Danio rerio: one gene and its partner. The protein of the gene in region 1 purifies or fractionates together with the protein of each later gene. This does not show direct contact. Links are inferred from orthologs where the notes say so. Each region holds a gene or a part of one and is shown on either strand. Other genes may lie near its edges. The genes, in order: uqcc1 and uqcc2.

Region 1 (16,555 bases):
TTTTGACACAATCTACATTATAAAAGCGCTATAGAAGTAAAGTCGAACTGAACTAAATAAATTGTGATCAAAAGCAGAAACTGATCAAATTGGGAAAGGCGCAGTGGCGTTCACATTTTTGATCTGATCGACTGCCCCAAAATGAGGCAGACGCGCAGAAGGATTTTTAGACAGCTGTGATGCTGATGACGGGAACATGGAAGATCATCTCAGACTTCCCAAAGTGTGGCCCCGCTTTTAACACAAAACAGGTAGCCGTATGAGATGAAGTCATCAGCCAGCAGCCAACCTTCACTTCAAGGTGTGGACACAAGAAAAATACACTAAATCAGAAGGAAACGATTAATTGTAAATATTTTTTTCATATTTTAAGTCATCAAAGTTGGGTACACTTAAAAAGCAGTGAAGAGTACCACAAATTTCATTTTAATTTACTCAAATAAAAAAAGAAAAACTTGCCTTTATGACTCTCTCTTTAAAAAAAAAAAAAGACTAATATAATCAGAAACCTGTAACTTTGTTTGAAAAATATATAAAAAAAGACATTTTCTGAGAAAACTGCATGCAGTACCACTTTATAGTAGGGCTGTGCGATTTGGGGAAAATATCTAATTTTGATTTTTTTGACAGATATTGCGATTTTGATTTGCAATTTAATTTTGTAGCCAAGCTTCAGCTCAATAACCTGTATTGCAGCTTCTTACTGCTAAAATGCAGTGATTCTTAGTTTAAAAAAGGAACTTAAAAGATATCAACTTATGTTAGCAAACAACTCTGAAATTGTAATTTACTGTTGCTTGTTACTAGATTGAGTGTGACTGGCAGTACTTTTAGTCAAATTTGTTTGCACGACGCTCCTCATACAACAACCTGTGGTGCTTTTAATGTGCTGGTCGTTGTATTTCCTCGTGCTGTGGCAACAATTCTGTGACAGCTCTTACAAATGACCTGGTTTTCTTTGGTGTTTGTGACTTTGAAACCAGGATATTTACATATTACTGACGTGCTGTATTCCTTTGACTTTAATTAGTCTATTAATGCTTCTGAAGTAGCAGATCCCATCATCCCACTCGTCCGTGCTTTTCTGTTTGTTTGTTTTTTTATTGTGGGCTTCCGCATAGTTTGGTTGCGCAATTCTGATTGGGCAGAGCAAAAGTGTGCTCACTTAATTGGCTAGTAAAACTGTCACACACAAACGGCAGTCACGCATTTTCTCTAGGTGGGGGAAGTTAAATAATATATATTTCATATCGCAGCTTCTTGCAATTAACTAACTGCAACGTTTCAAATTGGGATTACGATTCGATCTTAATTAATCGCATCACCCTACTCTATACGCACTCGAGATTAATATGAGATTTGGCAAAGTGAGCATGTTACATTCCCTTTAAATTTACTGTCCCTCCAAAAGATGCTGCATTAGAAACACCTAGATTATGCAATGCATTTTCAATTACGTGATGCAGTTTCAAGAGAAACAGAATATTAAATGAGAAATCAGTGGTCTGAATGATGGTAGTAAAGTCGGCATTTTATTCAGAAAGATCAGAAAAAGGGTTTTAGAAGAGTTATTACAACTTAACAGATGCCTTCTTCTCACCATTTCTGTTTGTTGTCAAAACTGACCGCTGGAAGGGCGTGGTTAAGTATGTTAGCCACGCCCAACACAGCAAAATTGTGTAATCTAAGAATTTAACTGAAAACAAACAGGAAGTGCATTATCATATTTTACTTTAAAATTTTTCCTCTTAATGACATGCACAGATGAAGTGTTCACCACATAACTACCAATATGAGCTAACAAAATCATATGGTTAGTTTGATATTATGTGTACTTTAAACACTTTCAAGGATTTAAGATGCTGATGATTGGTAAAACATGACCACCATCTAGTGAGAAGGATCTATTGTAGACGAAAAAAAATATTTGACACCAATGTGTAAAAAATATGGTTCTTAATGCATAAGTTAATTTAAAAAGAACCATTTATTATGTTCTTAATTTGTGCATTTCTTGTGCATCTTTAAGCAAAACACATTACAGATTTATCTCAATTCTTGCATAAAATAATGTGGGTCAAAGACATCTGATATCTGCATAATAAGATAAGTGTGTAAAAACAAAACTACATCAAAACATTTTTAAAAACCCATTTAAATTGTTTATTAATATATATATATATATATATATATATATATATATATATATATATATATATATATATATATATATATATATATATATATATATATATATATATATTTTTTTTTTTTTTTTATTTTATAGACATTCCTTCCAAACAGGACATGTTAGATCTCATGCCAACTCATAACTTTTTGATTTAGTGGCTAATTATTATGAAACTGTACGATCTCATTCATACATTTTAGTACAATCTGCTCATTTTCCAATGACAGCTGGGTTTAGGGGTGATGTTTGGTCCCACGCCTCCTTTGAAAAATCGTACATTTTCATACAAATTGGCAACTAAACTGACATTGTAAAAAAAAAGTTCTGTTTCCTCATGAGAAGAAACATGATTTAAAGCGGCATTTCACTTTTATTACACTCTGATGCTTGAAAATACCTTTTCATCTTGACTAACAAATACCAAATGTCATCTACTGCTTAGAAGCACTGGATGAGCGGCTTTATTTACCCATTTGTTGTATTTGAGGGGTCCGGTGAAGCCCATGGCCTCAATCATTTTGGTGAAGGCTCCCACCTCTTCATCTGTGGTCTGCGGGGTCTCTTTAACAGTACACAGCTTCAAAACAGAACACAGAAATTCATTTAAAGCCATAATATAAAACAATGGCAAACTAATAGGCATCTTGCAAAGTAAACGCATGGTAAAAAGACAAACTCAGGTCACTGTTGTTGAAACATAATACATAACAGAATGCATTTAGAAAAAACAAACTCAGGTTACAAGACCAACTAAAGTTGAAGGACCTATAGAGTTCTTGTTTTTAATATTGGCAAACAGCCACTATAGTGTCAAATCCATCAGTTATTGAAGTCTAAGATCAGCATTTCACAATAATTTCCCTGTAAATCTAAACTCTACCTGGGTACAGTTTATGGAGGTATCGCAATGTTCAGCTAGTTCCCTAAAGGCACTTCTATGAAGGCAATAAAACCTTTCCCGATGGATTTCCCACAAGATTTTTATGTTTTACTGCATTGAGTGGGATTTCTGGTAGACTAGAAGTTTAGTAGACTATAATCAGCACTTGCCCTTTGGGGTCGCACCGGGAGGAAATGATTATTGCCAACATATAACAAATGTCAAACCTCTGCACACTTTTGAGAATACATATTTCTTAAAATCTTTAAAACTGGTTCGAAATTGCAAAATCTGCAACTGAAATTAGTTCTGTCGAAAAATATGCTGTCAATACATTTATTCACATTTAAAATTATATTAGTTTGGAGTGTCCAGAGTTTTATTCATTCATTCATTCATTTCTTTTTGGCTATGTCCCTTTATTGAAATCAATGAACCACCAACTTATCCATATGTTTTATGCAGTGGCTGCCCTTCCGGCTGCAACAAATCACTGGGAAACACCCACACACTCCCATTCACACACATACACTACAGACACTTTAGCTGACCCAATTCACCTATAGCTCATGTCTTTGAACTTGTGGGGGAAATCAGAGCACCCGGAGGAAACCCACACGAACATAGGAAGAACGTGCAAACTCCACACAGGAATGCCAACTGACCTAGCCGAGGCTCGAACCAGCGACCTTCTTGCTGTGCGGCGACATACTGCGTCACTGTGCCACCTGGGTCCAGGGGCCTCATGTATCAACGCTGCGTACGCACAAAAACTTTGCGTACGCCAGGTTTCATGCTCAAAATCGCTCACGTTTGGATTTTCTAACGATGAACTGAACGTGGGAATGTGCGCAGCTCCACGCCAGCTTTATGGCAGGCGTACGCACATTTTTTGTGCGTGTTTGTTTTATTTCCATTGGCGACTCCTAGAGGCAGTTGTGTTAATAAATAAAATATGATGCACAGACTTATTAATGATTCCTACTTGTCTTTCTCGTGATAAATAGTTGGCAAAATCTGATATTTTGTGGGGGTAGGGGGTGGAAAGAAGAATGAGTTCATCAGACGCTGTATTCGAACCGAGTTCAAGCTCGAACGTCTCAAAACATGTTGACATGCGTTTTACGAGCTGCGCCACTGAGACTGTTAAGGGTACTGCAACATTTTACACCTATAAATCACACTATTTCTTTTTTTAATTCACTCAGTGCGATGTTCAGACCCAACTGTGTTAACCGCATCAGCTAAACTCTCCCACTCTATTTTTTTCTTTTGTTGTTAAGTCCGGAGGACAAACTTGCAAATAACACCGCTTTTCTCCGGTCTACCTCCGAAAGGAGAACCTCCAATTCACATTCTGTTCAAAGTTTCTCTTTTTGCTTGCTTTTGCCATTGCTTTTTCGTTGGGTTTTGCCAAAGTAGAGTCATTAGCATATTCATACGGGGGCGGAGGCAGGGAGGGGTTTTGTGCTCGTGCATGTTGCGCTCAGTTTCACGTTCATTCGGATGTACAAAAGAATATGCGTGAGATTCGGCGTACGCAGTGTTTCAAACATTTTAATTTTTTTATGCGCACGCACATTTACAGCTCTGTGCGTACGCAATGTTCTAGTATGATTTCCACGCAAGTCTTCATACATGAGGCCCCTGATGTTTTGGCAATATAATTCCCATGCCATTTGTGCGATTTGGATAGTTTAATTAACCACTCAATTTAATTAATTAATCACTCAAAAATATAGATAAAAAAGTAAACAAACTTTCGCTATGATTGTGTTCACACTTGGTAGGTTTGGTTTGACTGAATTGAATTGATTGAATTGTGTGATTGCTCTATTAGTGCAATCACACAAATAGAACAATTTTTTTTAATTATATTTTGGGGGTATTGTTTCACCCTAAAATTTGGGCACTGGTAAGGGCACTAACGAGCCTTGTTCACAACACATTGGGACACACTGGGTGTGACATGGGAACATCCTCATTTTACAACATAAAAACTGGAGTTTATAAACAGTGGAACTAATCATTTTCATATATTAATTTTAACACGTTTTAACAAATGCTTTGAAGCTAAATAAATTGATTATTTCATATACCAGCAACATTTCAACCACTAATAACGGGTAATAAATCGCACCAAAATGTATTGAAGGGTAAGTGAATTATAATAGCGAATACTTTATTGTAACCGTAGTAGTGCTGTGCGTCATTTGTTTACCCTTTAAGGTGATGTACTGACTGACTGACAAGCTGACAGGTGCATGATGCTTGAGGCCAGCAAACACGACGTATAGCCCTTTCACTTTACTTCAGGACACATTAATGCTACTCTGTAGGTCTATTAGAGACATTAATAAATATTCCTAGCAAATCTAATAAATGCTGGAGCTATACTGGTTACATAAACGCACTAAATCGCACATGAAGATCTGCGCGCTCTTGAAGCGGTTTATATTTGAGGGGGCGTGCAAGAAGTTTTATGCACGAGCAGAGGAAATTGGCGCGCAAGCACAGAGATTCGCATGTCGTTGGCTATTACATAAATGCGATCCCGACTTCTAATACTGCGCTCACAACATTTGTCACTAATATAATAACGCCACAGGTAGTTGGTAGATCTGTTTAAAAAAATAGAGTAAACACTGTTCATATTTCACACTTTCAAACTTCCGTTAAGAGGGCATACATAGGGTGTATCAATGTGTCCTGATTTTCACAGTGCATTGTGGGACTTTACAGAATTATAACGTTTCAATGGAAGAAGTTTGAAATTGAGACAGCTCTTAAAATGGCTGGCGACCTGATCAGTGCACTGGCTATTGAATAAGGCTGCTGATTGAGACACACCCATAGTGTAATTTCCAATGTTTAAAGGCAAATTCTTACAAATTACAATCTGAATTGCTTGCTTTGTACAAAATATTGAGAATTGCCAAGCTCTTAAGAATGAATAAGTCTAACAAATTATTGTTTGCTGGTGCGATTGGTCTATTAGTGCCATTAAATACTTAACACACCAAACAAGCAGATGAGAAACACGTAACAAATTCTGCTGTGATTCAAATGAAATAAAAAATCAATAATGACATCAGAATGAACCAAAAAAGCACAGAATGCATAAGCATACTTATTATTTTGTCATTAAAGTGGCAATGTTGCCCTGTGCAGTTCAGTACAAGCCAAGCAAGTGCATCTCCTGGCAGCAGATCTTTATTTGTGCACATAACAAGATTTCCCAGAGCTTCCTTCACACAATTAGTGCTGTATAAGTTGTCAGATTATAAAAAGCATGACATATACATATCCGCTTGTTAAGTCGTAACGTGTTGGTGATGTATGTAATACTGTTTACGGGTCCAAGCCGCCACTAATTTGAGTTGAGAAATTATTCGTTTAAGATCACTTTTAATTCATATCACACATTAAAGTTAATTTCATATAAAGTCATAATGTACACAACAATCTCTGGGCTAGCTGCATAACAAATACCCAAATTTGAACAATTTATAAAAAATGAATAACTTTCTGGACATTGTATATTAGGCATGGACATATATGTTACGATCGTGATTTTCGAAAGTAATAAATCGCTTTGTAAAAGTTTATAATTACCATTTCATGAGTCTTCCCATACAGTTGTATAGAGCGATTGTGCCCGGAAGCCGCTTTGCGTGACCTCACACTTGACAAGCGGATAGCTCATTCCAGGAATGCAGATACATTCCAACCATTTTACATTTATTTGCCTTAAACTGGAACGATATATAACAAATGTGTAATTTACAGTAACGTGGATCTTTTAATAATGCAACCTAAAGTAGACAATACTGACGCAAATCCTTTCATCAAGCAGACTCATAACAACTTCATTTGAGAAGTTAGGATGTTGTGTAAATGAATGATAAAAAAGATAAACAAAGCAGATTTATTTTTACAACATTTTTTGCTCATGTTTTTCATATTTGAAACTTCAGGCATATCTACACACTAAAATAAGCCCTGTTTTCAGAAACTGTTCCGATTTGTGCAGACATTTCCAACCAAACTCTGACTGAAGGCCCATTTTATTATGATATTGTTCTCTCAGATGTAACTCTCATTACATTCTCATTACTGTAATAAAATGAAGACCTTATTTTATGATTCTAACTAGGTATGCACTGAGGATGAATTAGTTATAAATTGAAATAAAAAAACAGTCCATACCTCTCCTGTGCTGTGAAGAGCTCTGCATTGTGAATGAAAGGGGACTCCAGCATCCGCTGCTACACGGCAAGCCACCAAAGCCCTGGACTGACACACGACTTGTTCAATGGCCTGAAAAACAAACATATTCAACTTGACAAGTGCTTTGGCATTTTTTAAAATTAATTTGAGAGTTCTGATACCTGACTACTCTAAATTGTCTAAACGCAAGACTAGGCATGGGACTATAACTAGTTTCAAGGCTTACAGAAGTTTGGAAAAGTCACGGTTTTAAAACCATAAAAATATTCTGTTAATATGTTCCTGCTGTATACGCAGTAATATCGTGATATTTTAATCTAAGGTTGTCATACCATCAGAATCTTATACCGGCCTATGCCTAGGTAAGACACTGCAGGGAAAAAAAAATACACACAAAAACATACTTCCCCATTTAATTGATGACATTATAAGAATTGTACATAATTTGTAAGAGATTTCTGAAATATTGACATACATGTTTGGATATGCAAAAAATAAATGTGTGCTAATTTGCATACAATTAAGTTACTTAACACATTTTGTGATTTGTGAGCTTTCTAAAGTACACACAGGTTTGAATATGCTAATGAGAGTAAATGTGTGCTGATTTGCATACAATTAAAGGGAAAAGTCTGGACATTGTTTCAAATCTGAAACAAGGCAGAAAGTTCCAGTTTTGTTTTATTAGAGTTAAACGTTTCTTTCATTATATAACAGTTTCATTCATCCATGATTTAGATAATAGTGCAAACAACCAGAAATAAAAAATCAATGTTAAATGCTCCATATAATTTGTTAATTGATTACATTATACTAATTAAAAACATTTTGGTATTTATGAGATTTCTAATATATTAATATACACATTTGAATATGGAAATGAGATTAAATTTGTACTAATGTGCATACAATTTAAAAGCAAATACAGAATATTATCCTTTATATAATTCATTCATTGATTAAATTACACAAATTGAACACATTTTGGGATTTGTGAGATTGTTAAAATATTGACCAACACGTTTAAATATGCAAATAAGATTAAATATGTGATAATTTGCATACAAATAAAGCACAAAATCGGAACATTGTTTTAAATTAGGTTGAAAATTCCTGTCTTGTTTTATTAGAGTCAAATGTTTTTTTCAATATATTACGGTTTCATTTATCTATTCGCATAATAGTGCAAACAACCACAAATAAAAAATTCACAATGTTGAATGTTCCATAGAATTTGTTAATTGATTACATTATACGAATTGAACAGATCTAGGTATTTGTGAGATTTCTAAAATATTGACCTACATGTTCAAATTTGCAAATGAAATTAAATTAGTGCTAATTTGCATACAATTAAAGTACAAATTCAGAACATTGTTTCAAATCAGGTTGAAAATTCCTGTTTTGTTTTATTGGAGTGAAAAGTTTCTTTCATTATATGGAGTTAACTTGTTAACAATGGTTCGGCAGTGGAACCACGCCTCACTTTGTCTCCTTAACCAATCACCTACTCCCTGAAACTTATTAAAGGCAGACCAGCCCTCTAGCACTGTTCTTCTCGTTCATTCAAACTCACTCTCCCTCCTTCTATTTCCTCGCTTCCCATTCACAATCCTATAACCCTCTCTTCAGGCCAAGGTTGAATTGGGAGGTCCAATCACCCTACCAAAACACAACAGAGACGGTACCCCCACTCTAGGGCATCATCGTAGGAAGCCTGATCAACCTACCTACCTGTTCACTGTTTATCCTCCTACTTCCCTATCTCACTGTTCTTTTACCATCCCCTTCACCCCTACAATAAAGTCTAGCTCAATGTGTGGCGTGGTCCAAGCTGGTGAAATTACAGTTTCATTGAATTCTTGATTCGTTATATTAGAGTCAAAGGTTTGTTGTTTTTGAGAATCTTTTTTATCACTCCATAATTCAGAAAATAATGCAAACAACAAGAAAATAAAAATGTAAAAAATAAACAATGTTCTGTAGGGTAAAATATTCCATATAATGTGATAATTGCTTACATTACACAAATTGAACCCATTTTGGGATGTGTGAGATTTCTAAAACATTGACCTACACGTCTAAATATGGAAATAAGATGTGCTAATTTGCATAAAATAAACCACAAAATCCGTTCACGGTTTTAAATTAAGCTGGAAATTCCTGTTTTATTTTATTTGAGTCAAATGTTTCAGTAATTATATTAGTTCCATTGAATTCTTGTTTCATTATATTAGTATAGTCACAGGTTTTGTGATTACGAGAATCTTTTGTAATCACTCCATTATTCAGAAAATAGTACAGACAAGCAGAAGAAAATACACTTTCTCAATGTTCTGTATAATAAAATGTTCCTCATACAGGGCAATACAGGTTAGTTTACAGTAGCTCATAATTGTGCTGCAAAATATAGAACAGAATAACCCAAAACAACATTAAAATTACATTTTTAGCACGTATATAAGGATAAGGCTTTAAAATGGCTCCAATATCAAACCCTTCAGTGATGTTATTATCTTTTTAAGTACACATAATAATTAACGTTACCTTTCCGAGGACAGCTCTCGATGCTGAGGCGTTTATTAAGTGTCTAACGGCGGACTGCAGCGGTCGCCGATACATGATTCCGCTAAAGTCACAATAATAAAGTATTATTGTAACTATAAAGCAGGAATCAGTAACTGATACTTTCCTACACGTTTTGTAACAGTTTGTTTTCGTCCCTCCCCTTTTACAGCAATGTCAAAGCATCTGTCCCGCTCTTAAACCGCTCCGTGTGGAAATCAGAGCAGAGCAATGCAGAGCTGTGCTACATGGTTCCACACGAGAGAGTTTGTGGCAAATATTGGCAAAAAACCGCTTGATAAAGTATACGTTAGCTTTACCATCACTGCTCTTTGTGTTATCGTTGGCAAACACAATTAAGTGATCTACTACTCTTAATTTTAGTGTCTAAAATACATAGGAGCAGAGTGTGACTGCCGTCAACAATGTAGCACACTTGCATTAATTGGGTTAAAGTTGGTTTTTATATCAGCCCATTCGGACTTTTACCATCTTAATATAATTTCAGACAGGTATTTCTTGGTAATTCTAAATGGGGAAATCATATAGCAGCCAATGACTATCAAAGTACAACATTCACAGTCTATTAAATAGTGCTAATGTTGTTTTCAAGTCATATTTACATGATTACAGACCAAATATTTAGTATATCGTGGTAAACAATATAGGGAATATGTCACAAGTTATCACGTTGTGCTCATAACAGTACGTCATTGTAATAATTCTGTATTAACCTTTTTAACTTCTACATAAATAGTTTATTGAACCCCAAAGTTGTGAATATAAAACCAACTTTACCTCAATCTTGCATTAATCTCTATAGGCTATAGTTATTATAATGGTGATTCTCCACTCCTTATATTGTTATTAATATTATAAAGTTACTTTATAAAGCAATTTATTATTCACTTGGAATGGAAATACATTTATTTAAATGTTCATATTATATTATATACATTAAAATGACAAAAAAGTCATGTTTTATACAGCAATTATATTAACCAGTTGTACTATTTTTTGTAGGTTTTAAGTTCTCTATTTTCTTATTTCATTATAATTTTAGTTTAGTGATTGTTGTTGTGTCTCTTTTGTGAAAATGTTTTATAAATGTATACAGTTGAAGTTAGAATTATTAGCCCCCCTGAATTATTAGACCCCCTGTTTATTTTCTTCCCCAATTTCTGTTTAACAGAGAGAAGATTTATTCAACACATTTCTAAGCATAATAGTTTTAAAAGCTAATTTCTTATAACTGATTTATTTTGTCTTTGCCATGATGACAGTAATATTATTTTACTAGATATTTGTCAAGACACTTCTATACAGCTTAAAGTGACATTTAAAGGCTTAACTAGGTTAATTAGGTTAACTAGGCAGGTTAGGGTAATTAGGCAAGTTATTGTATAATGATGGTTTGTTCTGTAGACTATTAAAAAATAGCTTAAAGGGGCTAATAATATTGTCCTTAAAATGGCGTTTAAAAATGTATAACTGCTTTTATTCTAGCCGAAATAAAACAAACAAGACTTTCTCCAGAAGAAAAAATATTATCAGACATACTGTGAAAATATCCTTGCCCTGGTAAACATAATTTGGGAAATATTCTGACTTCAACTGTACATAAAAGCTATGGAAAATAAGTTACAGACCACTAGGGATGAAAACCACTAAGGATGTGTGTATAGACAATCAAGATATTTGACTATAAACTACCTGATAAAAGTTTTGTCATCAATCCCAGTTGTAAGAGCAACAAATAATAACTTGACTTCTAGTTGATTATTTGGAAATGTGTCAGAAGGTAGATTTTTCTGATGAATCATCTGTTAAACTGCATCCCAATCATCACAAATACTGCAGTTTCTCTTGGTTTGGGGTGACATTCATTATGGGGGTGTGTGAGAGATCTGCAGAGTGGATGGCAACATCAACCGCCTGAGGAATCAAGACATTTGTGCTGCCCATTACATTACAAACCACAGGAGAGGGCAAATTCTTCAGCAGGATAGCGCTCCTTCTCATAATTAAGCCTCAACATCAAAGTTCCTGAAAGCAAAGAAGGTCAAGGTGCTCCAGGATTGGCCAGCCGAGTCACCAAACATAAACATTATTGAGCATGTCTGGGGTAAGATGAAGGAGGAGTATACTGTACATTATTTCTGTGAAGTGGCAAGACTTATGTCAAAGCAAAGTCAGACCTCACTGTCCTAATAAATATTTTAAAATCTAGGCATGATTATATTTTATTTTGGTTAAATAAGCGTATTGTAGAGGCCTTTGCCTTTCATATAAGCCACTCCTGATACCAAATGATCAACTAGAAGTCAAGTTATTATTTGTTGTTCCTAAAACTTGTATAGACGACAGGACTTTGTCGGGTATATATAAGAGCGGGGAGCACTTTCATTCATTTTGAGGGGCATTTTTTCCTCAAGACAAAATGCCTGAGCGTCAATGTGTTAGCTAAATGAAAATGAGAACAATTCTTTACTTTGTTTTCTTTGTTTGTTTTTTAAAATACTAAAATACAGTAGCTAACTTTCCCCACATGCTACATTTACTCTAATCAAGATTATTTTAATAATGAAGACAGCATCAATTGGTTAAATACTTTTTTGGGGATATTGTTAAATTGTGAGTCCTCAACATTTTACAGCAGAGCTTCAGTCTGAATTGCATTTCAGAGGGATGTGTTGCATTTTGGCAGCGACAGGTGCGCAGCTCGATGATGTCAGACAGTGGCATTTCTGCTGGCAGAGCAGAGAAACAGAGAAATCACATCAGTCCAGATGACGAACGACTGCCTCCAGTCTGTTCCAAAGATTAATGTCCAATAAGTACCTGGCATCACAGCTCCCGAGCCACAAAGTAAGCAAAAACTACACACTGCCGCGTCCACAAATTGTTTAAAATCATCCGGGCATCGAGGAAACTTCCTGCCCGAGTGCATCCAAAAATCACAGAAATATGTAATGCCCTTTTATGCATGAACGATTAAGAAAAATCACCCCCCCTCCGACCCTCTCCTCACGTAAAAGTACCAAAAACACTTTGAAGTCGGGATGTTTTCACAGCAGGGAGTGCATGAGGTAATGTTGGAGTTGTCTTTGCGTCGCTTTTTTGTTTCTTCCTCATAGCTGTGGAGGTTGAACTGAAAATGTCACAAGTCACTCTTTTTTTTGTGCTCGGGAAGGAGAATGTCACCGTTATTAGTGGTGAAATATTTGTCTAGCTTTCACTGCTGCACCTTTATGCCTTCAGGAAACAGCAGAGGAGGTGAAGGGGCCTCTTGAGGAACGGCCGAAATGTTGTTCATCCCTATGTCACCCATCCCTGAAAAAACAAGCAAAGCGCTGGGTCAAACCATGTGGGACTGCAACAGCTTTGGTTGTGTGTTCTGCACAGATTAAATGTCATTTTCTTAACAGCCTTTGAGCAGCATACAGTTCATTATGAAAGAATTACTGCTTCGCTCAAGGTCACCTCAGCAAAACTCTGGCAGCTTTTTTAGGTGACAGATAAATACAAATGTCAATTTTAGTTTGTTTCCTAATTTATTTCAGGTATCAACAGAGTTATGGTTCTTATTTGGGACTGTTTCTCTTCAGCTTGTTTCCTGTTCTCACTATTGATTATTTCTCACATTTTTCACAAAATTTAGTTTAATATGAACAAATTTGAAAACTCCCCAGCATGCACACCATGACGTCAGATTGACATCGTACCTCAACGTTGTGAGATGTTGCGTTTTGCTTGGAAATAAAAATCTGTTTGACATAAGGTCCAACATCAGGCCGAAGTCAATGTCCAACGTCGGACAGACATTGCATTTTATTTTGCATTATAATACAACATATTAACGTCTAATGATGTTACAGCTTGATGTTGTGTGGACGTTACCAATATGAAGTCTATCAGTTGCTGGATTTTAGTTGCCATATCTGATGAATAAATGTCAGTATTTGATGTCAATATGACGTTGGTTTAAGATGTTGGCTTGACGTTGGATTTTGGTCACTTTCTGACACAACCTAAAATCAACGTCAAGTCTTTGTTTGACATCAAAATAACATTGTCCTAGACACTGGCGATTTAAATCTGACCTAATATTAACGTCTTATGACGTTGTGTGTCTGCTGGGTCATATCTCGCATTGTAATTTTTTTCTTCAAAATGTGAACTTTTGGTAGTTTATTTTTCACATCTGCATCTTTAATCATTATAAAAGTGTCTCCTCGAAAAGCACTTTTTTATCTAGCAGTTTTTATAATCTGTGGCTTTATTTCTTACATTTGCTTCTAACTGCAAAAACTTAATTTTTTTACTCTACATTTTTTTGTTTATTTCTTAATTTATTAAAGGTAACAGCAGAGTCATGTTTCTTATTTGGGACTGTTTCTCTTCAACTTGTTTCCTGTATTCACTATTGATTATTTCTCACATTTTTCACTACATTTTGTTTAATATGAACAAATGTGAAAACTCCCCAGCTGGCACAGGAGATCAACATGACGTCAGATTGACATCGTACCTCAACATTGTGAGATGTTGCGTTTTGTTGGGAAATAAATATCTGTTTTACGTCAGGTCCAACATCAGGTCGGCGTCAATGTCCGACGTCGGACAGACATTGCATTTTGGTTACTTTTTAATGCAACATAAGATCAACAACATATTAACGTCTAATGATGTTACAGCTTGACGTTGTGTGGACGTTACCAATATGAAGTCTATCAGTTGCTGGATTTTAGTTGCCATATCTGATGAATAAATGTCAGTATTTGATGTCAATTTGACGTTGGTTTAAGATGTTGGCTTGACGTTGGATTTTAGTCACTTTCTGACACAACCTAAAATCAACGTCACGTCTTTGTTTGACGTCAAAATAACATTGTCCTAGACACTGGCGATTTAAATCTAACCTAATATTAACGTTTTATGACATTGTGTGTCTGCTGGGTCATATCTCGCATTGTAATTTTTTTTCTTCAAAATGTGAACTTTTGGTAGTTTATTTTTCACATCTGCATCTTTAACCACTATAAAAGTGTCTCCTCGAAAAGCACTTTTTTATCTAGCAGTTTTCATAATCTGTGGCTTTATTTTTTACATTTGCTTTTAACTGCAAAAACTTATTTTTTTTATTTACTCTACATTTTTTGTTTGTTCTCAATTTATTTAAGGTAACAGCAGAGTCATGTTTCTTCTGTTTAATATGAACAAATGTGAAAACTCCCCAGCTGGATCAGGAGATCAACATGACGTCAGATTGCCATGACAGTATAACAACTATAGTCAGGGGCAGCGCTGGCCGGTATGGGCCCCATGAGAACATTCCGATGGTGTCGCAGATGAAGTGAATGAGGGCTGGTGGGTGGTGAGGTATGGGGGGTTTTGCGGATGAAGGCGGGGTAGGGAGCTGTAGTGTCCTAACATGGCATGGGGCCGTAGAATCGTCCTAACCCCCAACCCCCCCCTCCCCCCCCCCCCCCCCACCCCCAAAAATGTCGCCCATATAGTCATACAAACAAATTACCTAATACTGCAGCTTAGGTGATTTAAGTGACTTTGAGCCTCTCTGAACACATCCAACCTTGTGGCAGATGGGCTACAGCAGTAGAAGACCACACCGGGTGCCACTCCTATCAGCTAAGAACAGGAAACTGAGGCTACAATTTGCACAGGCTCACCAAAATTACACAAGAAAATATTGGAAAAACGTTGCCTGGTCTGATGAGTCTCCATTTCTGTTTCAACATTCGGATGGTAGGGTCAGAATTTGCCAATAATAGCATGAAAGCATGGATCTATCCTGCCTTGTGTCAATGTTTCAGGCTGGCGGTGGTGGTGTAATGGTGTGGGGGATATTTTCTTGGCACACTTTCAGACTATTAGTACCAATCGGGCATCTTGTACCTAGTATTGTTGCTGACCATGTGTCTTCTGATGGCTATTTCCAGCACCATGTCATAAAGCGTGAATCATCTCAGACTGAGTTCTTGAACATCACAATGAGTTACTCAAATGGCTTCAACAATCACCAGATACTCAATCCAATAGAGCACCTTTGGGATGTGGTGGAACAGGAGATTCGCATCATGGATGTGCAGCTGACAATTCTGTGTGAAGCTATCATGTCAATATGAAGCAAAATCTCTGAGGAATATTTCCAGTACCTTGTTGAATCTTTGCCATGAGGGATTACGGCAGTTCTGAAGGAAAAAGTGGGTCCAACCCAGTACTAGTAAGGTATACCTAATAAAGTGGCTGGGGAATGTGTTATACTACAATACAGTTTCCTGTAGTACAAAACTAATGTATACTGTTTATCAGTTCACTAATAATGCTAAAGTTATCATTCATTAACTCAGTGTTGTAAATACTATACAACATTATAGACTTAACTACAGTATGGTTAAAAAAGAAGATGGTATTTACTATAAATGACTACAGTATTTTTTCATGGTGGATAAATGGCTCACCTGGGTTTACATTTCCCTCACAGTTCTCCTGTTATTTCTTAACCTCTCTTAACCCAGCGATTCCTTGAAAGGGTTCATTTCAAACCCAGCTTTGACTCAATGAGAACTCTTACTTTTTTTTCTCTTCCAGAAAACAAAATGGGCCTTTTTCCTCAAGTGAAGCGAGGGCTGCTTTCTCCAGCATGTTTGGATTAATAAGGAGTGATT
Region 2 (16,637 bases), about 12 Mb from region 1:
TAGTTTCCATAGTTTAAAAATATTGTCTGACATATTTCAAAGAATAATCAAAATTAATTAATAATAAGTGCAGATTGCAGCCCCATTTTATATCTTCATTATTTGCCACTATCCTAATTTTAGCCAATTTTATTCATTAAACACTTATTATTTTGATACTGCTGAACAAAAACGTTCTCTTCCCTCACTGAATAACATGTCACTAATATTTTACTCTTATTGCACTAGTTGGGGACAGTCTGTACATTATATGATACCTGAAATAAATACAGGGTTTTTCTACAGAAGCTGTCAGTTGAATGTTAGCCTACAGAGGGAGTCATCTTCATAGTGTGCTTCATATTGTGCATAGTGTACGTTTCCTTATGCTCATTATCTAACTGTAAAAGATACAAAAATCCTTCATGCATAACCCAAAAGAAATGTTAACAAACATTTATATCTTTAGTGTTCTGGTTGTGATCATGTTGGCAGCTCTTTATTGCCTGCTGTTACATCTGACACATATCTCAGCTCATTTATAGTGGTGAAAAATATCACCTGATCCATCGCTGCGCCGCGCTGATCGTCTTGAACACAAATTACTACAGTACAGTACAGTACAGTACTATGCTGAGTGATCGTTTCACAACACGAGGAAGCGGCAGATGTTTACGCTCCTCTCCTTATTGGCCAGAGAGTCCGAGCATTGTTTCTACAGCAGCACAGAGCTACACGCCCACTGGCTGTTACACAAACTTATATCAGGATTTCAAGATCACTCCGGTCATAGAAGGCTGTCCAAACCGGTCTCTTCTTCACATCGAGCAGCTTCACGACTCTCCAGTTGAGGTAAAAAAGATTACGCTGTGAAAAAATCGATTAATTTGAATTATCTGACTGGCCAGGCGTAGTATTTGTAAACAAAACGCCACCAGCTGTCTGTCGCGCGCGTTAAGTAATGTAACGATAAGCGCGTGACTAACATTTGCGACCAATTCATGCAGTTTAATATCCCTTGCACGAAATATAAAATGTCTGTATTGGGTTATATGTAACATTTCTCGTCAAGCTCTACACATGTACTCAGGTTTCGTTTACATTTACACGTTTTGGGTCCATGCGCAGAATCGCTCCCACTTGAGGGACAAACTGAACTGGCTGTCAACCAAAAGTTTTTCATGTTTGCTAAAAGTTCATTCAAGATAATTTAAGATAAAGCATTTCGAATTGGATTGTGAGCAGTAGTTTGGTAGTTTTTGTGCTATTTGTATTTCTATTTTAAATGATTGTTTTATTTTAAGTTCATTGTTTTGTAGTTCATTTATATTGGACTTTTTGTTCATCACGGTTTTTATTATTTTAATTACAAATATTAATCTATTTTTATTTATTTTAAATATTATTTTAAAAAAGACAATTTTATTGTTTTTAATTTTCAGTTTTTTGTGCCATTTTAGGGTTGTTGTCTTTTTTGTTATTTTTTATTATTTTAATGAGGCAATATTTATAATGGCTGTTTTTTGTTTAATTATGTTCATTTATTTATTGATTGATTTCAGTTTTAATTTTAGTTTTGGTTATTATAGATTTAGGTCAAACTAAATAAAAATGTCCTCGGAAATAATCTGCAATAGAATCTCCCAATTAATGTACACTGTAAAAAAATGCAGGGTTACACACAATTATTTCATATTGTCCCAGCACAAATTAAGTTAAATTAACACATTTAAAAAATTTATTTGGATTGAACATAAATAAATTAAGTTGTCCCAATGAAATAGTGTTGTTTTAGCTTATTATAATTAAGTAGTTTGAACGAGCAAAAATATATATTTTTTGAGTGTATGATCGCATTTATTGTTAATAAGTAGAAGTGAGTTGTACTTATTATTGTGCTGCAAATGAAATGAACCCTCAGCTACTGTTGGCCTCCTTGCTGGGTAGATAAGCTGTCAGACTTAAAAGTTACATGGAGAAGGAGGTGCAGAGCAACCATTCCAAACCAGTTACAGTTGAAGTCAGAATTATTAGCTCCTTATTGAATTTTCTTTTCTTTTTTAAATATTTCTCAAATTATGTTTAAAAGAGCAAGGAAATTTTCACAGTATGTCTGATAATATTTTTTCTTCTGGAGAAAGTCTTATTTATTTTATTTCGGCTAGAATAAAGGCAGTTTTTTAATTTTTTAAAACCCATTTAAAGGTCAAATTAGCCCCCTTTAAGCTACTTTGTTTTCGATAGTGTAAAGAACAGACCATCATTATACAATAACTTGCCTAATTACCCTAACCTGCCTAGTTAACCTAATTAACCTAGTTAAGCCTTCCAATGTCCCTTTAAGCTGTATAGAAGTGGGTTGAAAAATATCAAGCAAAATATTATGTACTCTCATCATGGCAAAAATAAAATAAATCAGTTATTAGATATGAGTTATCAAAACTAATATGTTTAGAAATTTGTTGAAAAAATCTCTGTTAAACAGAAATTAGGGAAAAAAATAAATAGGGGGACTTCAACTGTATATAATATACATACACAGGCAGTTGCTCAGAATCCTTAATTTACCTGTTTGTATTGAAAGGATGTGGATTCCTATGCTGAGCCTGACTGCCCTCCCTCACGTTGGTGGGATATTTGGAGGTATAATCACACGGCGGGAGGTTAAGACCTGGTACTCCACGCTCAATAAACCCTCATGGAGACCACCGAATGCTGCCTTCCCAGTGGTGTGGACCACCCTTTACACTGGCATGGGGTACGTTCAAACAGTAGGCATTCACTCTGCATGCTACACTTTAGAAACTTTAAAGGAAGTTGTAGATAAGTTAATAACTGACTAGTTACTGCAGATTAAGTAAACAGTTTTCCATCTTTTTTTAAAGGTACGGCTCATACCTTGTGTGGAAAGAGCTTGGAGGCTTCACCCAGGATGCAATGGTGCCATTGGGGCTTTATGGGCTGCAGTTGGCACTTAACTGGGCCTGGACCCCCATCTTCTTCGGTGCACACAAAATTCAACTGGTGAGACATTATTCTGAGACTCTGAAATTGTATTATAAAATGCTGCATTCCACACAATTACTTCATGTTGTCCCAACACAAATTAATTAATTTTTATATATATGTGGATTGTATGTGGATTGAACAATAAACAAATCAGTGTCCTAAAACAAACATAAGAATTGTGTTAACAGCAAAAACAATCCCAAGGCACTCGAAAAAATGTGGACAAAGTATTAAAGAGCCTTGATTATCATGTCTATTCTTTAAAACTGTACCTATGTGTTTCAGCAAACTCCTGCCATCATCAGAGTGGCAAGTGTTTGCTGAAAGGTGTAGGCGCAGTTTTAAGGAATAGCCATGTCAATATAGGCTCTTTAATACTTTGTCCACATTTTTCGAGTGCCTTGAACTTACTTTTGCTGTTTATCTTGGTGAATCCCTTATTCAAAGAGCACCAACACAATAATTAAGCTACCCCTGAGCACTTTTTGTTTGATTTTGGCTAAGAATGGTGTTGTTTCAACTTATTTTATCTTAAAAAAGTACTTTGAACTAGCAACAAAAGTCCATTTTTTCAGTGTATTTCAAGTTAAAATATGGAGCAACTTTTTAAAAGTTAAACCAGGAACCTGTTTCTCCACATATAGTACTAATGAGATCTTATCAGACTCAAAAAAGGAGGGAATATTATGCAGTTTTTAACATGACAATGGTATTTTGGAAGCCTGAAAATGCAAAAAATGTGTGTTCAAAGTGCACTTTATTTCATCGCTGCAAACTACTAGTGATTTTGTGAATATGCTGACATCATGTGGGTGTGTACTACGTGTTCAATCTTGCACATGTACTATAAAAAGCTGTCCGAAATCACAAATGTTCACGACTGTTCAAAAAGTATGTTATATATAGTATAAATGCGAGAACAGTGGAATTCAGATGTACTACATCCACAATTTATCAATACTTCTTGAGTACTGTTTTTTTAAATACTATGAATTTGGACACACTATGTTGGCTCACATGCTGTTTTTCACATACTATATAGTAGGGAAGTGTGCAACTTCAGATGCACCCGTAGTGTTTCTTTTAGGAGTGACATCATAAACTAGTGGCCTGCAATGCTCATTACGATTTTGTGTTGACAGGGAATCTTTTGACTATAGAGAGTCAAAGCTTTTCAAAAAAGCATTCATCTTTCAGGTACATTGTCATGGTAAAAATATAAAGATAATCACAATTAAAAATGAAAATTCAGTCATTGTTTAGTTAGGATAATTCTTCTCTGCAACACAAAATAATATATTTTGAAGAATGTCGGTGACTGTTTCAATTCGCAATGACATAAGCTTTCTCCATTCAATGATTAAAGCAACTTTTTCATCACACATTCAAGAGACAAATATCACTGCCTGGCAAAGTAGCACAATAGATTAATAATAAAATTCTTTACATTTATTATTTAAAATAATTCATGCAATAAGCCAGGGGTGTCCAAACTTGGTGCTGGAGAGCCGGTGTCCTGCAAAGATTAGTTACAACCCCAATCAGACTCACCTGGGCTACCTAATCAAGCTCTTACTAGGCTTTCTAGAAATATCCTTGGAGGTGTGTTAAGGCAAGTTGGAGATAAGGCCCTCCAGGACTGAGTTTGGACGTCCCTGCAATAAGCCAATCCATTTTAGAACTTTTTTCCCCGTTCTTATCAAATATTCCAAGCACACACATCAGTTTAGAGGTGAATGCCTGAGGTTTTATTGTTATCGTGCTAAATGGTCGATTGATAAATTCATTTTGAGGATAGAATTTTCCTCAGGTGTTTGCAGAACTGTTAAAACATTTGGTGCGAGACAAGATCAGTCCATTGGTTTGTCTAGTTATCTGATGAAATCTGTAAAATTAGAATAAATACTGGTATATTATATTTTGCCAAACTTCTTTGGAAATTTTGTTTCCATCATGGTTAATATGCATTTATCTATTGAATAATTTCTTTTCATCTGACTCATCTGAGTTGAAAAATTCAATATTTGTAGGTTTTTTTATGTGGTATCCTAAAGTACACATAAAAATTGGTGGATGCAAACAAAGCCAAGGCTAAACAGATTTGAACATTCTTCAAAATATCTTCTTTTGTTGTCATTTTCTGTTTTTTTTTTTTTTTTTTTAGAACATACTTCTGAAATTTGACAGTTTTATTTGCTTCATTAATTTGAAATGAAAAACACATTGTGGTGCTCTTCTGTTTTTCTTTTATATCTAGGCACTGATAGAGCTATTGTTGATGAGTGGCACAGTGGCAGCCACAATGGTGTCCTGGTATCCCATCAGCCGCACTGCAACACTTCTCATGGTGCCATACATGGCCTGGTTGTGTGTCGCCACCAGCCTCAACTACTGTATTTGGAGAGACAACCCAGAGCCCAAGAAAGAAGACTGAAGAGCCCAACACTATTCCAGCTAACACAACTAAGAAGAATAAATGCACTCATGATTGTTTTGTTACTTGTTGGCATTTCTGAAAATGTTTAATTAAGAGTTTGAATTTTTTTTATATTCACTTGCAAGGTAATTCACCGGATGTCTTAAGTAGAAGAGGTGACGCAATAAAATAATACTCTAATGCTTCCATAAATTATTTTTTAACACACTGCACCTATTTACTCATGTTTAGATCAGTTTATTTGCTCTTCAAATCAACTGTTTGCTAACTTCCTTAAATAAACATGTTTAAAGCACACTGCATGTGGTTTCTATCACAAACATTAAGTTCTGGTCATGAAGTGTTGTGGCTGTACAAGGGTGGTGGTCAGGCAGAGGAGGCTTTTACCATCTATCTTTTGGGAACATGCTTCATCACAGATTAGGCCATGTTATCAATATTAGCCAGAAAATCCCCCAACATGCATTCAGTTATTTCACATTGTTAAGTAAGCCCCATTAATGAACAACTGCATTTATTTTTACCCTAATCATGAATAAGCACATTTAAACTAAATTAAATTATTTTCATTTTATTTTACCTTAGCTACCGCCAATCTAACTAACATGGTATATACACAATTAGCCATTAAATGTTCATTAAAATACATTAGTAATGTACACTTTGAGTCAGAATTAATTAGCCCCCCTGAATTATTCACCCCCGTTTAATTTTTTTTCCCAATTTCTGTTTAACGGAGAGAATATTTTTTTCAACACATTTATAAACATGATAGTTTAAATATTCTCATTTCTAATAAATAATTTGTTTTATCTTTGCCAGGATGACAGTAAAAAAATATTTAACTAGATCTTTTTAAAGACACTTCTATACAGCTTAACATGACATTTAAAGCCTTAACTAGGTTAATTAGGCAGGTTAGGGTAATTAGGCAAGTTATTGTATAACGATGGTTGTTTGTTCTGTAGACTATCGAAAAAAGAATTTAGCTCAAAGCGGCTAATAATTTTGTCCCTAACATGTTTTTAAATTAAAAACAGCTTTTAATCTAGCCAAAATAAAACAAATAAGACTTTCTCCAGAAGAAAAAATATTATCAGACATACTGTGAAAAATTCTTTGGTCTGTTAAACATCATTTAGGAAATATCAAAAAAAGAAAGGAAAAAGAAACTCCAATAGGGGCTAATAATTCTGACTTCAACTGTATCTGCAACACCTAATGAAGTCTTTTTTTTTTTAAACAAGCATTCAAATGAGGATTTCTTTAAGTGGCCCTGCCTACCATGAACATACATCTGTGGCAATTAAAGGCATGAAGTAAACCAAACATGCTGTAGGAGCACAAAATGTGTATGTAAAAGGATTCAGGTTTTTCCACTTGAAGTCAAAACATACACAGGATTGTTTAAAGGGAAATACAAAAAGTATTTATTGGCATCTGCTGGTTCAAGAAAAATAATATGCAAGTAATATTCTATAAAACTGAATACGGTGTTTCCTGAATTGTCACATTTCTTAAACCCTACAGCAGCTCTTCCAACAAAAATCACTGGTTTTGCTTGTTGGAGCTCTCTGTTTCGACCATCGACTTTAGGAGAGCTACAGCTGTTAAAGTGAAGATCTGCATACACACCTTATTGGGTCTATCTGTGAAAGTGCAAAGGGGAATAAATAAGAACTATACAGTATGGAGGTTATTTCTCAGCTTTTTCAGGGGGTACGTCTTCAGGTTTGGAGGAGAAGCGCTCCATTAGGGTCTTCCACAATCCCTTCTTCTCCTCATCTGTCTGCTGCATGCTTCCTGAAACAAATGACAACATCATTTACCTACTTATTTTTCATGTTTTTGTCCACTATACATAGCTCAATAAAAGACATTTAAAAAGATGCTACATGACACCACATTTAATGTTTTAAACAAGTCTTCATACCATACCTTTTGCCACAAAAACTTTAATAAACTTCTAAAATAATGGCAAATGTCTTTAAGAAACCAAACATTTGTACTCAAGACACTGGGCAGTTTAAACTAAACATCTTAATTTCAAGTCTGTGCTTAAAAAGTGACCAACAGGTCATAAACATAATTTAGAAACTCTACATCATGTAAAAAAAAAAAAAAAAAAAAAAAAACTTAATTTAAAATAATGTATTTTTTAAATACTTTATTTATAAGGTTATATATATATATATATATATATATATATATATATATATATATATATATATATATATATATATATATATATATATATATATATATATATATATACATATATACATTTGCACAAAACAGAAAAAGACAATCAGTCAACAACAACAAAACAAAATATATAAACAAATATCCCCAACACAACTTTCCCTTTTGTGGCTTTATCAGAAGATATACATAGCTAACAGTCTGTAAACAAAGTCCTCGAGCGTCACACAAATGCACAGCAAATGTACATATAGAGTGCACACACAACTTCAATACAGTAATGACAAAATGCAAAAAAATATACGATACACATAAAAAGTGAACAGTTCAGTGTGCAATAAAAGGAAGGTTCTGTACACTTTTCTTATAAGCACTGCAATTGTGAAAGCCATTACAAGGTTACATTGACGTGAAAGAGGAATAAATTAAATAAATTAATTAATTAAAAAAAAAAAGGGGGGGGGGGGGTCTTTTGGGATTATATGAGATTTTATATATCCTCCTGCTCAAAAATTTTTAAATTGTCAACGTGTGTAAGAAAGGGAGACGATGTTTTAAAAAAAATATTTTTTGAACCTCTGAGAGTAAATTAGATTTTTTCAAGCTGAATAAAATACATAACGTCTTTAATCCATCTACTATGTGTTGGGGGCTCAGGTTTTTTCCAATACAGAAGAATCTGAAGAAAGAACAATCATCAAAGTTTGGGGCGTAAATATTGATCAGTATTACTTATTTATCAAACAGACGGCCTGTCACACTTATATATATACCATTAATGTCACTAATGACATTATCAGTGACAAATTGATCATCCTTTCTAATAAGTATAGCAGTACCTCTGCTTTTAACATTAAAGGAGGAAAAATAATGTATTTTTAAATTTCACATAATATTAACCTAAATTTGGTCATGTTTACTGCCATGACAAAAGCAAACAAAAAAAATACATTCTATTAAATTGACCAAAAGAGCAAAGATAATGCATTAATGCTTTCTACTGATCAAAACAATCTCTAATGTATCAGTTGTTATACAGTACTGTCTGCACAAAACATCAACAGATGATAATTTTAAGAAATCTTTCTTGATCAGCAAATTAGTATGTCAGATTGATTTCTGAAGAATCATGTGACATTAAAGGTTCCAGATTCAGTGTTTATTGCCATATGCACAGTAATGGTTCCCTGCACAATAATATTCTAACTTGCTGTCCATACTGCATGCCGATAAGGTTTAATGTGTCTTAAACAATATATAACGATGGTGCGAATTGCAGGGGGGTTTGGGAGGATTGACAATGTATAACTTAAACATATTTGACTGTCCACCCATAACGGGTCATACCATTGTAAATGCATAATCACGCCAATCCATGCTAGGAAAAATACCATTTAACAGTCTGAAACTGGCAGATCTATAGCACCGATATAGACATCAAGTATTCACAAAACACATTTCATCTAAAATAGGTGTTTATATCTGCATGTAGCCTAAAAAATATTAGACACATAATTTGTGTAGTTTGATCTACAAAAACCTCTAAAATAGTCATTATATACAGAACACCTTTTTAATCATTTTTAACAGAAAAAGCTAATACTAATAATATTTCACAATATAGCCATTTTTGTTTGTTTTACCTTTGCACATGCAGAACCCGATTTTACCAAGTGCAACATATTCTTGAATCAGCATCTTTGTTCATCCTGGAACAAACTTCCAGCCAACCAATCAGATTTGAGACAAAGGTTTACAGTTTATGTAACATTTAGGTTTACAATCAGTGTTTGGTGCTTTCAAATTATTGATATTTACTTATTATTTCCCTTTGGTTTTAGGAATAATTTACAGTATGGGTAGGGTTGGGTTTAGTGTAAGAATTAGAATTGAAATGAGTTTTCTGACAGGTAACATGTTTCAGGATCAGCAAATTATGTTGACGCAGGAATGGATCTAGCTCTGCAAAATTTCTCACAACTTTTAAATTCTGGTGTATCTCAGTTTGTACAATATAATGTATAAATCCACACCTGTGGCCAACAGCAATCGACACTCTTCCACTGTCACACCTGTAAAACTGGTGTCTTTTGCTCGTGGAAACTGGAGAGAGAAAAAAAAAAGTCACTGTAACATTTCAAGAATGTGGTCAACACAAATGAAAACCATATAAATGTATTAGCAAAATAAACCCAAATGAGAAGTGTCATCTAGAGGAAACCAAAAAGCACTACTCACCTTCTCTTTGTACACATTACTGTTGATGCGAGCCAGACTTTCATACATCTGATCACATTTCTCTGGGTCTGAAATCTGAATAGAAAACAATTGTGCACGAATAGCTTAAAGTAATATTTATAAAATTCAATGTTTGTACAAGAGAACTGATTATTAAACACTAGACTACAAAAAAAAAAAAAAAAAAAAAACCCGAGGCTTGTCTAATTAAAGCATCAAAATTGAGGTAAAGTTGGTTTTATATTCGCACATTCGTTCAATGACAACTTTTTTCCCCATGGTACTTTAGATTTTGGGTGTGAAATTCAAATCACATGCAAGAACGAATTCAAAACATTAGCATGACTTATTTGTCTGAATAATGTAACTTACTTTGATAGTCACTGACATACAGTGATATGTCACTATTTATAATAATTGATGAGAAAGTCCGAATGTGTGAATATAAAGCCAACTTTATCTCAATAGCATAACATATCTCTGCACACACAATGAAAGATTTGACTTTGAATGTCAGCAAGGATAAATGGTGCAGTACATACCTGTGTATTTTCGCCCTCCCGGAAAGCACTAGCGACTCTTTGGCGTAAAAACGTCCCTAAATCTCTTCCTTTCTTAGACTCGTCTTTTGGCCATTCCTCGCACAGCTTCAGAAATCGACGATATCTAGTGGCAGACATATTTCAAGTAACGTTACAGGATTTGTGTTTCACAACTGCGCTCATGTACAAATCTGTAAGCCGTGAAGGGACAAATTGTACGGCGTTTCAATATTGACTCCTCATTGCGGATATCGCCCGTCTCTCACTACGGGTTGTCCCCGTCGAGCACCCGTACTAATGCGATAACCTCGTGGTTTGCCGTAGAAATTCCAAGGTAATATCAAAGACCTTCTGCTTGAATGCTTCGTGTGGCTAATCCTAATAATTTATTATAACGTTTAAAAACAATGAGCGGAAAGAAATCGGAAGGGAAATCGGGAGGGGTCACGGGATGGATAAGCTCGGCTTGCCGTTTTGCCGCAGACCGAAATGATTTTAGAAGGTTAGTCACGGTTTATAAATTTACGAAGGCTCGAAACGACGAATGTAACGTACCAACGTTACTCAAAATCTGATTTACATGTGCTGTTTTAAGTGTCTGCTGTTGTTACAGGAATCTCCTTGTGAACCTGGGCTTGTTTGCTGCGGGTGTTTGGGTCGCGAGAAACCTTTCAGATTTTGACTTGATGTCTCCTCAGCCGGTCACGTAGCTCCACACATTAACAACAAAATGGACTCTTACAGGTGAAATGGCATAATGTTGTTGAAATCATCGTTCACCTCTCATCATGACTTAACTTGGGTTTCTTCTTCTTCAACACAGGTGGTGCTGAAATGGGAGAAGAAAGACGTTTTCTACAGTGGGTCTTGTTGAACAAGCCTATTCAACAGCGAAGGGAATAAATCCCAACAATTGGATGATTACAAATTGTAAATTTCTTCTGTATATGCATTGTGTTTTGTTGAAATAAACCTCATGTTAAAACGTTTCCTACAGCCATTTATTTATAATAAATATATAATATACACACTATCAGAACAATATTCCAAAAAAATTAAAAGCATGAATTATAATGTCTATTTTATGATCCACAGTTTGATTCTTTCCTTAAAGAACATCCTTCGTAGCTTTCCCATAATGGCAGTCTCCTACTTTGATGACAGAGCTTTAATCCAGGTTTCTTTTTCCAACCTAAAAACAGAAAGAAAAACAAACATTTACTTGCACAACTAAAAGCAAAATGTTCACTCAAGAAAACTTGAAATACACCAGCTTTCTTTTAAATACAAAGTCCCAATGTATACGTTAGTACAGTACTTAAGTACAAATATATTATTATTCTAATCTGAATCTAAATTAAAATGTATTCTTTTCTCAATCAGCACATTTATCTTATTATTATTATTTTTAAATCCATTCATTTATTGCTTTATTCAAAAATAATTAACTTTACATTTTACAGCCCCCTAAGCACTGCCTTGTGGCCCCCAATTTTGTAAACCCTTAGTTCTACACAATATGAACCATTGCCAAGACTAATTACTCGTTGCGTGCAGCAAGTATCAGGGCAGAGGACGATCTATTATGCTTCTTAGTCAGATGAAGCAGGAGGGATTCAGAGGGTAATCCCAAAATAGTAGTTTTGATTTCCTCAGCGCGTACATGATCAGGAAATAACGCATGGTCCTGCACAAGGAATCTTTGTCCGCTGAATAGAGGAAGAAAAAGATAATAAAATTGGTTATACATACACAGACACACCTACACATAAAACGTTAAATTAAAGAGTCAATGGAAATCATGCAGCAGATCATACCTTCTAACAGAGAGGAGCAAAAGATCATTGAAAAGGTGTATGTATAAATCTTTGCGAGAGACTATAGATGCCTTGTGATTGCCACCAATTATTAATTGCTTCAAAGTTCCCTCCTGAACCAAATGACGTCCTCTGGTGATTAATGGAACAGCCTATTGAAAAAAAGAAAAATATGTCTACAAATTTGACAGAGGCATAAAAAAGAACTCAAGATATTTTGTACCTTGACATTTCCGAAGTCCACTAACTTGTCCAAAGAAACGAGCAGCTCTGTTCTTTTCATTTTCTGGACTCTTGTGTCACACTCTTCCACTATCTACAATCAGAAATTGAATTATGAATCCTAACAGCAGATGAACTCAATCTATTTTATTTTATGACTTGTAATACCTTCCGTACAGCTTCAATGGCTTCCTTCACATTAGGGACATTGAGACTAACACCCCGAGCTCTCTTGAGGACATTCTAAACCAGATAACACAAACAACTAATAAATAATCACGTTCACTACTCCACCAATTGGTGTATTTGCCATTTACCACTAATATCCAACATCTCCCTGACCTATTAAAAAGGGAAGCAAACCTCAAGCAAGAGAGTTATTCGTGTGATCCTCTGAAAGGGAAGAATTAGAAAAGACTTAAGCGTCTGTCTCTGGCATTGTGGGTCCTTCTCTAGTTTCTTTAGGATTGGTGCAAATTTCCTGTTTTCCTGTCTGGTAGAGGGGGTGCAAAATATCGATCAGAATGCTGTGATGATAAACTGAAGCTGAATTTGGTGGAAATATATAAACGGAACAAACAGCAGCTGAGTGACGAGGGCCTCCTGGTACATCATGTTGGTGATATACGGCACATAGACTTGTTGGAAGGATTTTTGGTGGTTCAAAACAACGTCACCAACCTGTGACATCACCACATCCTGCCTGAGATGAGACTCCAGGTCCTGCAGAAACCTACAAAAACCAAAGACAACATGTCCTGCATTAAATTAGATTTTGAAAATTTAAACCAAATATAGACCCTAACTGTGACCGGTGTAACATTGAGCCAGCTACTTTATCTCATATGTTTTGGGCTTGTTCAAAATTAAAGAAATTCTGGCAGCTAATATTTAAATTCCTCTCGGACGCATTAAATACGTATGTAGAACCTGAGGCCATAATTTCAATTTTTGGAATCACACCACAGTCCTTATGTTTTAACAAAAGCAAGATAAATGTGATTGCCTTTGCTACGCTTTTAGCTAGAAGATTAATATTGCTGAAATGGAAGGAAAAACTTCCTCCAACCTTTAAGCAATGGCTTATGGAACTTCTACACCACCTGACCTTAGAAAAAATACGATACACTTTAGGAGGCTGTACTGATATGTTTTTTCTCACCTGGCAACCTGTTTTAGATCACGTAAAAAAGATGGACCCCTCAGTCATTTTAGAAGAGTAGAACCTTTCCTTGTTTGTTTGTTGTATTTTTTTTTTCTTTTCTCTTCAATTTTTTGTATTTTCTTTTTTCTCCCCTTATTAATGAGAGTAACATATGCTTTACGTATTATTACTATTTATTTGCATTTTTTCTCAATATTATTTATATTTTTTTCTAGAACCTAAATGTATGTGCGGCAGGTTTTGTTTGTTTGTTGTGTAAAAAAAAAAAATTTGAAAAGCTATTTTGTAATGTATGTTTCATATCTAATATGTTCAATAAAAATACTTTTGGAGAAAAAAAAAAATGAGATTTTGAATGAAGAAGACTATATTTATAAGTGCAGCGGTTGGACAATGAAACTGAAACGCCTGGTTTTAGACCACAATAATTTACTAATATGGTGTAGGGCAGGGCTGTCCAAACTCGGGCCTGGAGGGCCGATGTCCTGCATAGTTTAGCTCAAACACCACCTGCCAGGAAGTTTCTAGTAAGAGCTTGATTACCTAGTTCAGGTGTGTTTGAGTAGGGTTGGAACTGAACTCTCCAGGACACCAGACCTCCAGGACGGAGTTTGGACACCCCTGGTGTAGGGCATCCTTTTGCAGCCAATACAGCATCAGTTTGTCTTGGGAGTTACAGATATGAGTCCTGCACAGTGGCCAGAGGGATTTTGAGCCATTTTAGTAGAATCAGTAGGGTAAAGGAAAATATTTCCTGAATCATTCCTCCAAAACACACCAAAGCGGCTCAATAATATTTTGATCTGATGACTGTGCAGGCCATGGAAGATATTCAACTTCACTTGCTTGATCAAACCACTGTCACCATTCTTGCTGTGTGTATTGGTGCATCATCATTCGGTTCGGTATTTCTTGGCAGTCTAGCACAAGTTTTGGGTCTAGTAAATGCCATAATATTGCACCCCAGCCCCTCCCTGATCCACCCCCATGCTACACTCTGGGAATGCAACAATCTGGGTGGTACACTTTTTTGGAGCTTCTCCACACTGTAACCCTCCCACATGTGGGAAAGACAATGAAGGCAGACTCAAAGAAAAATACATTTCACATTGTCCACAGCCAAAATTTTTGCTGCTGGCACTATTGAAACTCTATTGGCACGAATGACCAAAGGTTTGTCTATAGCAGCCCGGCCATGTATACTGACCCTGTGGAGCTCCCGACAGGAAACAGGAGAGTTAAGGTGCACATTTAATTCTGCAGTGAGTTGGACAGCTGTAGTTTTACATTTTTTGGATTTAATCCCGGTTTAGCAACTGGAAATCCATTTCAAACAGCTTCCTTAGGAGTCCATGGTTACTTCTTTTGAATGTAGTTAGTTGTTCTTTGTGGTATGCTGACCTTAACCTGGAGAATTGTAATAATAATCTGCAAAATAAACCTTTCAAATCCCCTGCTTCTGATGCTCTTGTGAGTTTCCCTTTTCCGCCTGTTATGTGTTCATCAACTACAATTAAATCAACAGCCACAAAGAAGACATCTATCTAACAATCTATGCCCACCTCCACCCCCTTCCTCTTGGAAGGACATCTAGGACACTAGAGTTTGAGCTTGTGAAAATCTGTAGTATGGCGCTGCAAAAAGGGGCGGGATTAAACAAGATGATTAGACATTTAAAAAAAGTGAGTGATTGATTGGTTCATATTTTAAATTTAGGTCCAGAGAGGTCATGTTTTGATCTTTGATTGGTCTCACGCAGTCAAGCGATGCGATTTCTCAGATCAGAGTTCACCAAGCTTGAACTTTGCAATGCAGCGAACTGCGAAACTTGTCACATGAGCTTGCATTTCCGGTCTGACGCATTTGCGTGTGTATGAATGGAGGTCTATGGGGAGAAAAGTCTAGCGTGACCGCAGCCTTACTGGATGAACTCTGAATCAATGAAGATTGGTCACCAGGCTGGTCAAATTTAGCCATGTTTAAAATTCATAGTCCAACCCCTCTATATTTAGTATAAAGATTTAAAATGACACTAATTTAGAATTTTGGAGCTGAATTGTGATCAAATTATATTCTTTAATGAAATATCTTTAATTTTTTTTTGTATATAAAATACTGTAATACAATTACATTTTCGTGAGCATCTTCTGTAAATCAGTTAAAATTATTCATTCATTCATTTTCTTGTCGGCTTAGTCCCTTTATTAATTCGGGGTCGCCACAGCGGAATGAACCGCCAACTTATCCAGCAAGTTTTTTTACACAGCGGATGCCCTTCCAGCCACAACCCATCTCTGGGAAACATTCACACACACACTCATACACTACGGATACATACACAGAAACGCCAACTGAGCCGAGGTTCGAACCAGCGACCTTCTTGCTGTGAGGCGACAGCACTACCTACTGCGCCACTGCCTTGCCAGTTAAAATTATATAATTTTATATTATTTAACTTAACATGATGGAACCTTGGGTAATTAATCAACATGAAGAGTACTTAAGTTTTTGTTTTAAGTAGAAAACAAGTTCATAGATGTTCCTTATGACCCCCTTTAAGATACTCTGGTGACATCAACCCGATATTCAAACTCGTTTCATACTCTCTGTAGCATCTCGGGCGTAACATTTTGGCTAGCTGCAGTTATTTCTTCTTTTAGTTCCTCAATGTGAAACGGAGCTTCCTTAAATCAAAGACAGAAAGAGCTTCGCTCTCGTTTTCTACTCTGCAGAGTTCTCGGTTTTCAAAGTTGTGGTTTTCTTTTTGAAAGCACCCTGTACTATGAATTGCTTTCTAGATCAGGGGTGCTTAATCCTGTTCCTGGAGATCGTGGCTGCGTCCGAAACCACATACTTCCATACTATAGACTGTAGTATGCTAAAATCAGTATGTGAGCCGAGTAGTATGTCCGAATTCATAAAATTCAAAAACCAGTATGCGAGAAGTACTCGGATGACTTACTACTTTACGTGAGATTCTGGAGTGCACATCCCATGCATAATGCGCTATCCCATGATGGCCCGCG

Evidence for each region.
Region 2: the proteins of uqcc1 (region 1) and uqcc2 purify together in Homo sapiens (co-immunoprecipitation; 3 studies listed by BioGRID and IntAct, counting the BioPlex papers as one, with this or other methods). This does not show direct contact. The link is inferred for Danio rerio from reciprocal best matches to the Homo sapiens genes UQCC1 and UQCC2.

The regions. Positions count from the first base shown.
Region 1 is NC_133181.1:55,284,657-55,301,211, forward strand, and holds the start of uqcc1 (ubiquinol-cytochrome c reductase complex assembly factor 1), read right to left. Parts: upstream 10,007-16,555; 5' UTR 9,924-10,006; coding exon 9,849-9,923; intron 7,392-9,848; coding exon 7,281-7,391; intron 2,769-7,280; coding exon 2,661-2,768; intron 1-2,660. UniProt on the Homo sapiens protein: Required for the assembly of the ubiquinol-cytochrome c reductase complex (mitochondrial respiratory chain complex III or cytochrome b-c1 complex). Involved in cytochrome b translation and/or stability.
Region 2 is NC_133181.1:43,123,101-43,139,737, reverse strand, and holds uqcc2 (ubiquinol-cytochrome-c reductase complex assembly factor 2), read right to left. Parts: upstream 10,675-16,637; 5' UTR 10,546-10,674; coding exon 10,408-10,545; intron 9,941-10,407; coding exon 9,866-9,940; intron 9,731-9,865; coding exon 9,661-9,730; intron 7,229-9,660; coding exon 7,122-7,228; 3' UTR 6,832-7,121; downstream 1-6,831. Other genes in the region: tspo (translocator protein), read left to right, coding at 2,565-2,737, 2,865-3,003, 5,246-5,422; tomm6 (mitochondrial import receptor subunit TOM6 homolog), read left to right, coding at 10,815-10,909, 11,021-11,117; si:ch73-15b2.5 (rho guanine nucleotide exchange factor 19), read right to left, coding at 11,557-11,599, 11,952-12,116, 12,225-12,376, 12,448-12,540, 12,615-12,689, 12,810-12,939, 13,027-13,179.